3 linked regions of the Drosophila melanogaster genome follow. The protein of the gene in region 3 interacts with the protein of the main gene of each other region in a pairwise test. Each region holds a gene or a part of one and is shown on either strand. Other genes may lie near its edges.

Region 1 (2,832 bases), on a different chromosome or scaffold from region 3:
TTGTAGGTTTCCATCGCTCCGAATAGCCCGGCATTGAAACCCCTTTGTAACCCCTTTCCTGGCTCATCAGCCGGAATGGACCTATGGCCATGTGCGCGGGGTTGAGGGGTGAGTTTCATGCTCATAATTTGTGCACTTTATTAATAAAGTTTTCCAAATTGGCTTGGCCCAGACGCAGTGCAAATACACAAAGCGAGGAGGAGAATGAATATACAAAAAAAGTGTATAACAATTGTAAAACAATATGGCTCTAAGAACTTGTGTAAAACATAACATTTTTTTTAGTCACATACATAAACAGAAACGCGGGCCTATATTTTCAACTGATAGTGGAAGTTTTCAGAGCCTTTAAGATGACAAATCTATTCAGTCATGTTATTTTCCCTTCGATTTCAATTTGCTTTAAGATTCTACCCTCGAATTTCTCTTTTCCCTTTGACCATTAATATCGAGCTTGCCTTTCTAAGCTTACGGGGTTCAAGAAACGAAGTTTTTAGTTTGCTGGGGAAAGTGTTTATTTAAGTAACTGGGAAAGTGGCGAGGAGGTGTGTGTCCCCCTCCAGAAATATCCCAGTTCTAGTTGTTCTGCCCGCTTTGTCCTTGTCCACTCTGCTGGTTGCCGTTTCCATTGCCATTTGGCGGTCTTGGCGGCTGTCCCTGCGAATGTCCATTTTGGCCCTGGGCGGCCACCTGCAGCGGCATTTGTGCCTGGAAAACCTCTGGTTAGGCCAAGTGGATGATTGAAAACCCTTCAACTCTTACCAAACCCACAGCCAGAATTAGAAGGAAGATGCTGAACAATGCGAACTGCTTCATGTTGAATTTGAAACTAGTAAACTAACAACACATGTGGTCTTTTATAGTCATACAGCACAACTGCGGTTCCCAAGAGATTATAATCCAGTGCAATTAACCATCGCAGTGAACAAAATGGCAAAATCAGTTTGTATGTTAATAATGCCATTCTGTATTATTTTGCTCGCTCGAATCTGATTTATAATGTCGTAATTGCGTGTGACCCGATCTGATCGCATATACAATATATTAAAACGACAAAATAACTCCAAAGGGGAGCCATCATTTTGCTGTTTAATTGGAAAAACAAATTTGAAAAAATTAGCCAGAATATCTCTCAAATGTCACTAAGGTCATCATATCATAGCTATAATTAACTAAAAATGTATAGATTGAGCTCTAAATTTAATAACATTTTGGACACGCCAAAACAAATACGTTTTGCGAAAAATTAACTTGGATGGTAAGAATTTATAAGTCAACATATAGCGATCTGATTCACACTCTGACTTCAAAAGCTATATTGATTATAAAATATTTGGGCGTTTTATCTTTGATAACATCAGAGCGTCATAAGCAGTTACTGAAAAATAACCACTAGGTGGAGCTCGTGTGCACTCACGGAAGCAGTCGGAGTAACAGGTATCTGATATTCGATACTTTTGACACTGTCTCTGGTTTTTTGTATCTTGTCTTGGTAAACTATTTTCCTAAAATATTCCAAGTGGCATATTAAATTTCCTTAGCCTCGCACTTTACGAAGCTTTCGAAATCAATTCATTTAGGCACTATTACATTTTCATAAAGTTTGTCTAGGCAGAGTAAACCGTCAATTATTCAAACTGGATTTCCTATTGCTGCTCGGTCTTTTAATTTGAGCGTATGCTCAAACAATCCAACACACCAGCCACCCATATGCCACCATTCTTTGACTGACACTACACGTTTTGAAAGAGATTCGCACACCACCCACCATCCACCTGCCATCCAACTGCCACCGCCCATTCACTTGCCCCTCGCCATCACCTTGGGGGCATGGTCGGGCAAAGCAATTTCGCTCGGCATTTTCGAGCGTTGAGTGGCAAAATGTCTTCGGTTTCAGCTTGAGATTAAATTCTGCCGAACGTTGGCCAAACAGAAACAAGACTTTCTAGTTTACACAACAACGATGGGTCCCGCCCGCCGATTCACCTGTCACCACCTATGGGCACATCGATGTTTGCAGACTGAAGGAAGTGCATATAGTTGAATTATTTAGTTACAATTGATACAAGTATAGGTAATTTCTAATGTTAAGTTGGGAGGCATTCTTGAAATTAATCTTCTAAGAACTCTATTACAATAATTTTGAAAAATTAAAATAAACTATAAGAAACATACATATGCGTATGATAGTAACAACAATGCAAGCAGTTGCAGAAATAATTTTTAAAAATATTATAAACGACTTTGTGCAGATTTCTTACTGTGTACTTGTGTGGGTTTTTTTCGGTTAATAAATGTCCCTGCCACAGCGAAATATGAATATTGAATATGCCCATAGTCGCGAACTGAGCGGCTGAATAAACCGCAAGCGAGTGGCGAACCCATAACGCCTTATAACCATTTCGGCACTTTTCAGGACGACGGAGGAATAGCCAAGGATTTGGATGGCCATATGGGGGAAGGAGGGCGGTAAATTCGGGTAGCAAGACGACACCAGCATACATTGTGGATGAGCACTAATGAAGTCTCAGCCCTCGTCCTTTACAGTTGGCTGCCTCATTGTTTGACTTTGACTTTGCCACTACCTTTCACTACCAACGGCCCCGCCCACTTTTCCACTTTGCACACTCACAATTGTTTGCACAGTCACTGCTTTGTCCTTTGACCCCCCCGCGCAAAGCACTCCGCCTCTGCCTCTGGCCAGCCTATTTATTTATGTTTATAATAGGATTTTTATCAAAACTTTTCCCCGAATTAATTTTGTAATGAGTATTTAAAAGACACTCGCATTTGGACAGGACACACACACACAAAGAGACCCGCAGCGCGGCA
Region 2 (2,690 bases), on a different chromosome or scaffold from region 3:
AATTATCATTTCGAAATATCCTTTGATTTGTACCTAATCATTTAAAGCCATTTAACAAATAGTTGTTATCTTAATAGCTTATTATCTAGTTGCCTTGTTAGTTACGTAGCTTTACGCTCTTTGAAAGTAATATTTTATGCTGTTCTTTTTTGCTTTTAATTCATACGTACAATAGGTATTTCCAAGTCGTGTGGGTACTTCCTAACGCCTTCAGCTGCTTCAGCTTATTGTTGGTGTCTTCGCTTTGTTGTACCGCTGTTGCCCTTGTTGCTTTTGTTTCGCCCGATGTTGCTGGTGTCGCCAAACGCAGACGTCGCCGTCTTCTGCCTTCCAAAAAGTGGGGTGGCAGCTGGAGGGGGCGTGCCAAAGGGAAACTTTTCAAATAAAATGATTTCTTATTTAGGCAACCGATTTGAGACACGCCCCCACACCCACACCCAGGCCCATTTCCATTTCCATTCCTCGGGCAGGAGCAACGCAACCATTACTCGGAGTTCGAAATGGAAATCGGTGCAGTTAATGGAATCGGTGGACGGTTTTATATATTGAAATAAGCAGAATATATATCTTTATTTAAAGATTTTTGAATGTTTTTACATGAAGGACTCGGCGATCGAGTTTCTAGGCGGACGCCTCACTGGAGGACTCGCTGGAGCTCTCCTGGGAGGAAGAGTCTTCGGAGGAGGATGAGTTGCCACCTTGGGGAGGTCCTTGTGGGAGTCCCTGGGGAGGTCCCTGAGGTATTCCCTGCGGCGGCTGGAGTCCTCCAGAGCCCTGAAGTGGTCCCAGACCTCCCTGCGGAAGTCCTGGAGGACGACGTCCTTGGACAGCAGCCAGAGCCACCATGGCGAGCACAACGATGAGGAAGATTACACGCATTTTGATTTTGTAGATGATTGACTTAGCAAATTCAATTGACTTCACCAACTGCACCCGAGCCCTATATATACCTCGGAGATCTCTACGGAATCGGATCTATTGCAGGTGTTTTGCAATTCTATGTTTTCGATGGACAAACAGAAGCATTGTGCAAACAGCGATGACCCAAGTGAAGTTGTGTAAACCCTTCATAATGGAAATACTTGGCCAACTGGTGATCTTAAAATATTAAACAAACTAACCTCGTGGTTGTGAAACTTTAGATTCATTATATTTATACTTACTTCCTAAAGCTATTCCGGGTGATCTAATGAATAAAATGTAGATTTATTGGAACAGCTTTAGGTTTTTTCGTTTCTTTTTTATTTTAGCAAAGTATCTAACTATAAGATTTCTGTTTCATAGATTTTTCTTTTCCGTAAATATGCATTTTGATTTAGCTTAAAGCTTTTCTCGGCACACCCAAGATGGGGAAATATAAAAATGGCAATGAAATAAAGTCGGGCAAAACAATTGAGCTGAAACCTTAAGCTCTTTGCTGGGATTTGGCCAAAAAAAGTGGAAAGTACTTGCACTTGTCTCGCCCCCACAAATCCCACACTCCGCGCATTTCTAAGATCCTGGAGCATTTGCCACTTGGATGATACACCTAACTTATAAAAATTTCTGCACATGATTCCGCTTTATTGCTTTATGACCGTGTGTGAGTTCTACTTGGAAATTCATATCTCTGGTACTAAACAAATGTTTCAACATTGAGCTTCGGCTTCTTGCTTTCCGGTTTTTTGCAACACGAGCCTATTTTCAGGACCTTGCATTAAATTTCGTTATTTCGTGCTCTTTTTTTTAGCCAGCATACATTTTTTTATTTATCGTAGTTGAGAGCTAACTTTAACCCTGTTTTTCTTAGTGTTCGTTCTTATGAATATTTCAAAGTACTGCCAGGCTCAAACTTTGACATTCAGACTGAAATTTGCCTTTATCCCGCGGAGAAGTGCACGCACCAACTCTCGAATATCCACATATAGTATCCTTGCAGCGAGTGTATAGCTTACCCTAAGTGTTAACACTTTCACTCGCAGGATTTCTTTTCGCTTATTTTCCTGTCTCGCAATTGCCGGCATGTAGTGTTGCTTATGAATCTATTTACAACAGCAACAAAAGGACCTTTTCTGTAGTCGTAATAACCTTTGATGATCTGTTTCAACGGCGCGTGCTGTGAATTGTCAATAAAAAGGCAATTTCGACGCTCTAAAACCAGCTCGGTGGACTGGATATTCCACTTCAGCACCGCACTTTCCACTTTTCCTATGTGGCTGCCGTTATGTGGTAGCTTTATGGAGAGCATGGGTGTACGACAGGGACTCGCAGGATGCGATACAAAGCTCTAGATGTCTGGATTCATTTCTGAGTTCAATCGGAGGGAACAGGATAATCGTTATAACCTCAAGAATTGGCGGTCGCTTCAATTATGGCTTGATTGATATATGGCTCTTCAGATATAAATTACATTTTCTGTACCATCAGTTCATCTAAACTTAATTTCTTATTCGTGTGCTAAAAAATTTAATGAGAGCTTAAAGGATACGGATATAGATATTAGCTGATTTTTCACATGCCAGCTATTAGCTAGTAGTTATCTATACCAAGTAGCAGTCCACAGGACTGCTGCCAAGGACGATTAGAAAGATTTCCCAACGGGTTCTGATTATTGGGGTAATTGGCCGCCCGGACGTTCCCTTGATTTGCGGTCAGCTGTCGTTGCCATCGGTCACATTTTGATTAACCCGAACGCAAATCCACTCACACCC
Region 3 (3,412 bases):
GTCGTTGTGGTTGCCATAGCTGTTGCTGTTGCATGTAGCATGTTGTTGTTGCTTTCGCTTGTGCTGCCGACAACAGCAACAGCAGCAGGGCAAACAAGTTGAATGGCATCCAGAGATGGGCAGGGAAAGGGATTGTGTACTGCCAACAGCAGTTTGATTGTTATTGCCAATGAATGAATGCACTTGCTCCGAGGATTTGTCTGCCAGACGACCAACTTATGAGTTTCCATCTACAACTCCGGTCCAAGAGATGCGGCTCCTGCTCCAGCTTCGTTTGCCCCGAGGGTTGTGGCAACACATTTTGCGGTCTGCAGTTGCAGCTTCTGCTGTTTCTGCCGCTGCTGATGCCATTGTTCCCACTGCCCCACCGCAACACTGCACCACAGTTGGATCCCTGCGCCGCCACCAACTCCCATCCAGCGCGATGGTGTTGCTCCTGCGTAAGCCTGCAGGGGGTGTTTATGCTGTTTGTTGTTTGTTATTTGCCGTTTCGCAACTGTGTGTTGGCAATGAATTGGCTGCAAACAACATTTCCGTTTTGGCCATTATATGGCGCCCACTCTACAAATGGGCGAGCATAATAGCCGGAGGGGGAGGTGGTGCAGTTGGGGTTAGCTCCCCGTCGCCGCTGACATTTTCACACTTTTCAGCGGAGTGGGTGAGCAGCTGTTGGCGGCGGGCAAAAGGATTGCCTTGCATTATCCTTGTTCATTTCCCTTATACTTTTATTACTGATGATTTATTGATGTCCCTTTGTTGTTGGCGGCGTGGGGTTTTTTCATTAACTTTTTATCAAAGATCGGGGGTTGGACATAAATAAATGAAGGACACGAGCAATCACTTCAAGGGTTATGAAAACTGCCAAATTAAAGGGCAAACATATGAAGTATCTACTACCGTTAAACAAGATACATGTATAATGTTTTAAACGTTGTTTTCATTCACCATTCGTTGGTCTTCTTCTGATGCACGGTATTGCACTCTTATAGTAAGTAATTGATGAATTTTAATGGCTTTCAAATTGGTACGATAATGTATATCTGTTTTTCAGAATTTCAACACCTTCGCCAGACAATAGCATGCTGCAAGTGCCGCAGCAATTGTCCATTGTTTCGGGTATCCTGGCCAACCAACCGGCAATACATAACTACATAAATTAACGGACCTCGATTCCAGGACCAGGACCACGGAAAGGGATCGGGCCAGAGACGTAGGGATGGCGCAGTGTCGACAGCAGGAATCGCCACCAGCTCTTCAATTGATTTTGCGAAAGCACTTTGTTGGTGGGCCCCATCTCAGAAACGGAACACTGCAGCACTAACTGGACAGCGGACGGCGGACAACGGACGACGGACTTCGAAGTTCGAACATTTGAGACAATGGGGCAGCAGCAGCAGTAGCATAACAAGGGGTATTGTGTGCACGTATTGAATGAATTGCCTTTGGCTTTCATTTCAGCTCTTTTTTCTGGGGCTGCAGGCTTCAGTCCAGTTTGGCTTTGTCCTGGCCGGGAAACAGTTCGATTGCGGGAGAAAATGAAATCAAAGTCGTATCAATTTGAAACCTGTTTCGATGTCGTTGTTAACACATGTTAACCAAACGTAGCCAAATTGCCAAGGAAAATGCAAAAAAACGTGGCAGCAGAAATCGAAATTGATATTGTTTTTATCTACATGAGTTGTTAAAATTACAATATATATGTAAAGTACCAATCTCAAACTTATAAGGCTGTAAAATCCTTTTTAAACTCACTTAACTGAATTCTACTTTTCATAAAAGGTGACAAGAACTAGTTGACTCTGGATTTTCTGACACTTTGCATCTGGTGTTCAATTCAACAACACCAGTCACATTAATCTTATATTTCGTACAAAACCGAGCCATATTTTATTGTAAATAAAATTCGATAAAATTTCGGTGGACATATTGGACGAAGATGTCCAGTCTGCAAGATATTCCGCTTGCCGACCCCGAGGGCCTGTCTGTGGAAGGTCCCGAGGTGGCCCCCGCTCCAAAGTCCAATTCCTTGAAGCGCTTCTTTAAGATCAGCAAGAAGCCAATGATGCGCGACCAAGTGGAGGATGACGACGAGACATCCTCCCAGGACAACAAGGACCTGGGAAAGTCAAACACTATAAGTCGCTTCTTTACCCGGATGAAGGGAGCCAATAAGGGTAAGCTCTTTTGACTGGTATTAAATATGATTTGTTGAAAAAAAAATGATTGCCTAATGACTTACAATTAAAAGGAGCTCTTCTTGAATAATCATAAACCCCACTTGCCAGATGTTCAAGATCCTTCGAGCTCGGTGGTCGAACCCGTGGAGCAGGATAAGCCGTTGCCGAATGCAAAGCCCACGATTAAGACATCCATTTCATCCTACTGGAAGATACTGTTCAACCGGCAGAAGAGCCAGCGCCAAAACGCAGCTTTAGGGCAGACCAATGCCAATAAAGAGGATAACGAGTCTGAAGAAGTCCATGAACTGCAACCAGTAAGCCAAGATCCCGATACCGATCCTCAGCCGACAGTCAAGGATGAGCACGATGAAATGGAACGTGGCACAGATCCGGAGCCACCCAACCCGAAGCCCAACAAAAGTGTTGCCAGCAAGGCATCCGGTCAGGAGATTGTCAGTGCCTTAGAGGGCGGCCAGCTGTCTACCAATGATCACGAGAATGCGGCTTCCATTTAGCCGTCTTCAACTAACACTAATCAAACCCGATGTCTAGTATCTCTACCGATCTCGAGGCAAAGGTTTAGAAATCAGTTAGGGAGCTGATTCAACCTTACACAATATATACTCTTCAAACACATCCCTGCTAACTGACATACATACAAGAACAAACATTTTCGCTTTGATTCCACAAATGATAATTCCGAGCTCACGAAATAAACACATACAAGACCCCAGTATGTTGTCATGTCATCCTTTGTGGTAAATCCATCCGTTTTTGTTCGTCTAAGGGGTCACAGAGTTCAGTTAAATCGGTTGTTAAAACGTCTTCACTGGGGGGTTTTGATTACCTAAACGAGTTTCATGTTTTGCGTTGCAAACAGTGGGGTTAAAAGGTGCCGCATGAGCCAGACAAGCCCGAGAATTATTTGAGGTTTTCACTTTCGAGGGAAGCCCTAAAGATGAGCCACCCCCAAAAGTTGGCTAACTAAATCACGTAATGAGTATTTAATTGTTGGAAGGTGTGCTATTAAGGAATAAGGGTGCAGAAAGTTTTATTTTAAACTTTATTTCAGTATCAGTATACCAGTGCAAATTTCTTGGCTCAGTTCCAAAGAGGTAGATATAGATATATCTCAAGAATGAGTAGTTTTCTTATCTCGTGTCAGTACTTTGGAAAATCTGAAACACACCAGTTGCATATCAGGATAAACAGCTGGGCGATGTTTACCAACA

The links. The genes of interacting proteins can lie anywhere in the genome.
Region 1: the proteins of CG5217 (region 3) and CG12158 interact in a two-hybrid assay, tested with the Drosophila melanogaster proteins (one large-scale study listed by BioGRID).
Region 2: the proteins of CG5217 (region 3) and whe interact in a two-hybrid assay, tested with the Drosophila melanogaster proteins (one large-scale study listed by BioGRID).

The regions. Positions count from the first base shown.
Region 1 is NT_033778.4:9,362,074-9,364,905, forward strand, and holds CG12158 (uncharacterized protein), read right to left. Parts: upstream 834-2,832; 5' UTR 817-833; coding exon 763-816; intron 709-762; coding exon 577-708; 3' UTR 501-576; downstream 1-500.
Region 2 is NC_004354.4:21,401,839-21,404,528, forward strand, and holds whe (what else), read right to left. Parts: upstream 935-2,690; 5' UTR 880-934; coding exon 622-879; 3' UTR 501-621; downstream 1-500.
Region 3 is NT_033777.3:19,246,552-19,249,963, reverse strand, and holds CG5217 (uncharacterized protein), read left to right. Parts: upstream 1-1,827; 5' UTR 1,828-1,936; coding exon 1,937-2,174; intron 2,175-2,285; coding exon 2,286-2,695; 3' UTR 2,696-2,912; downstream 2,913-3,412.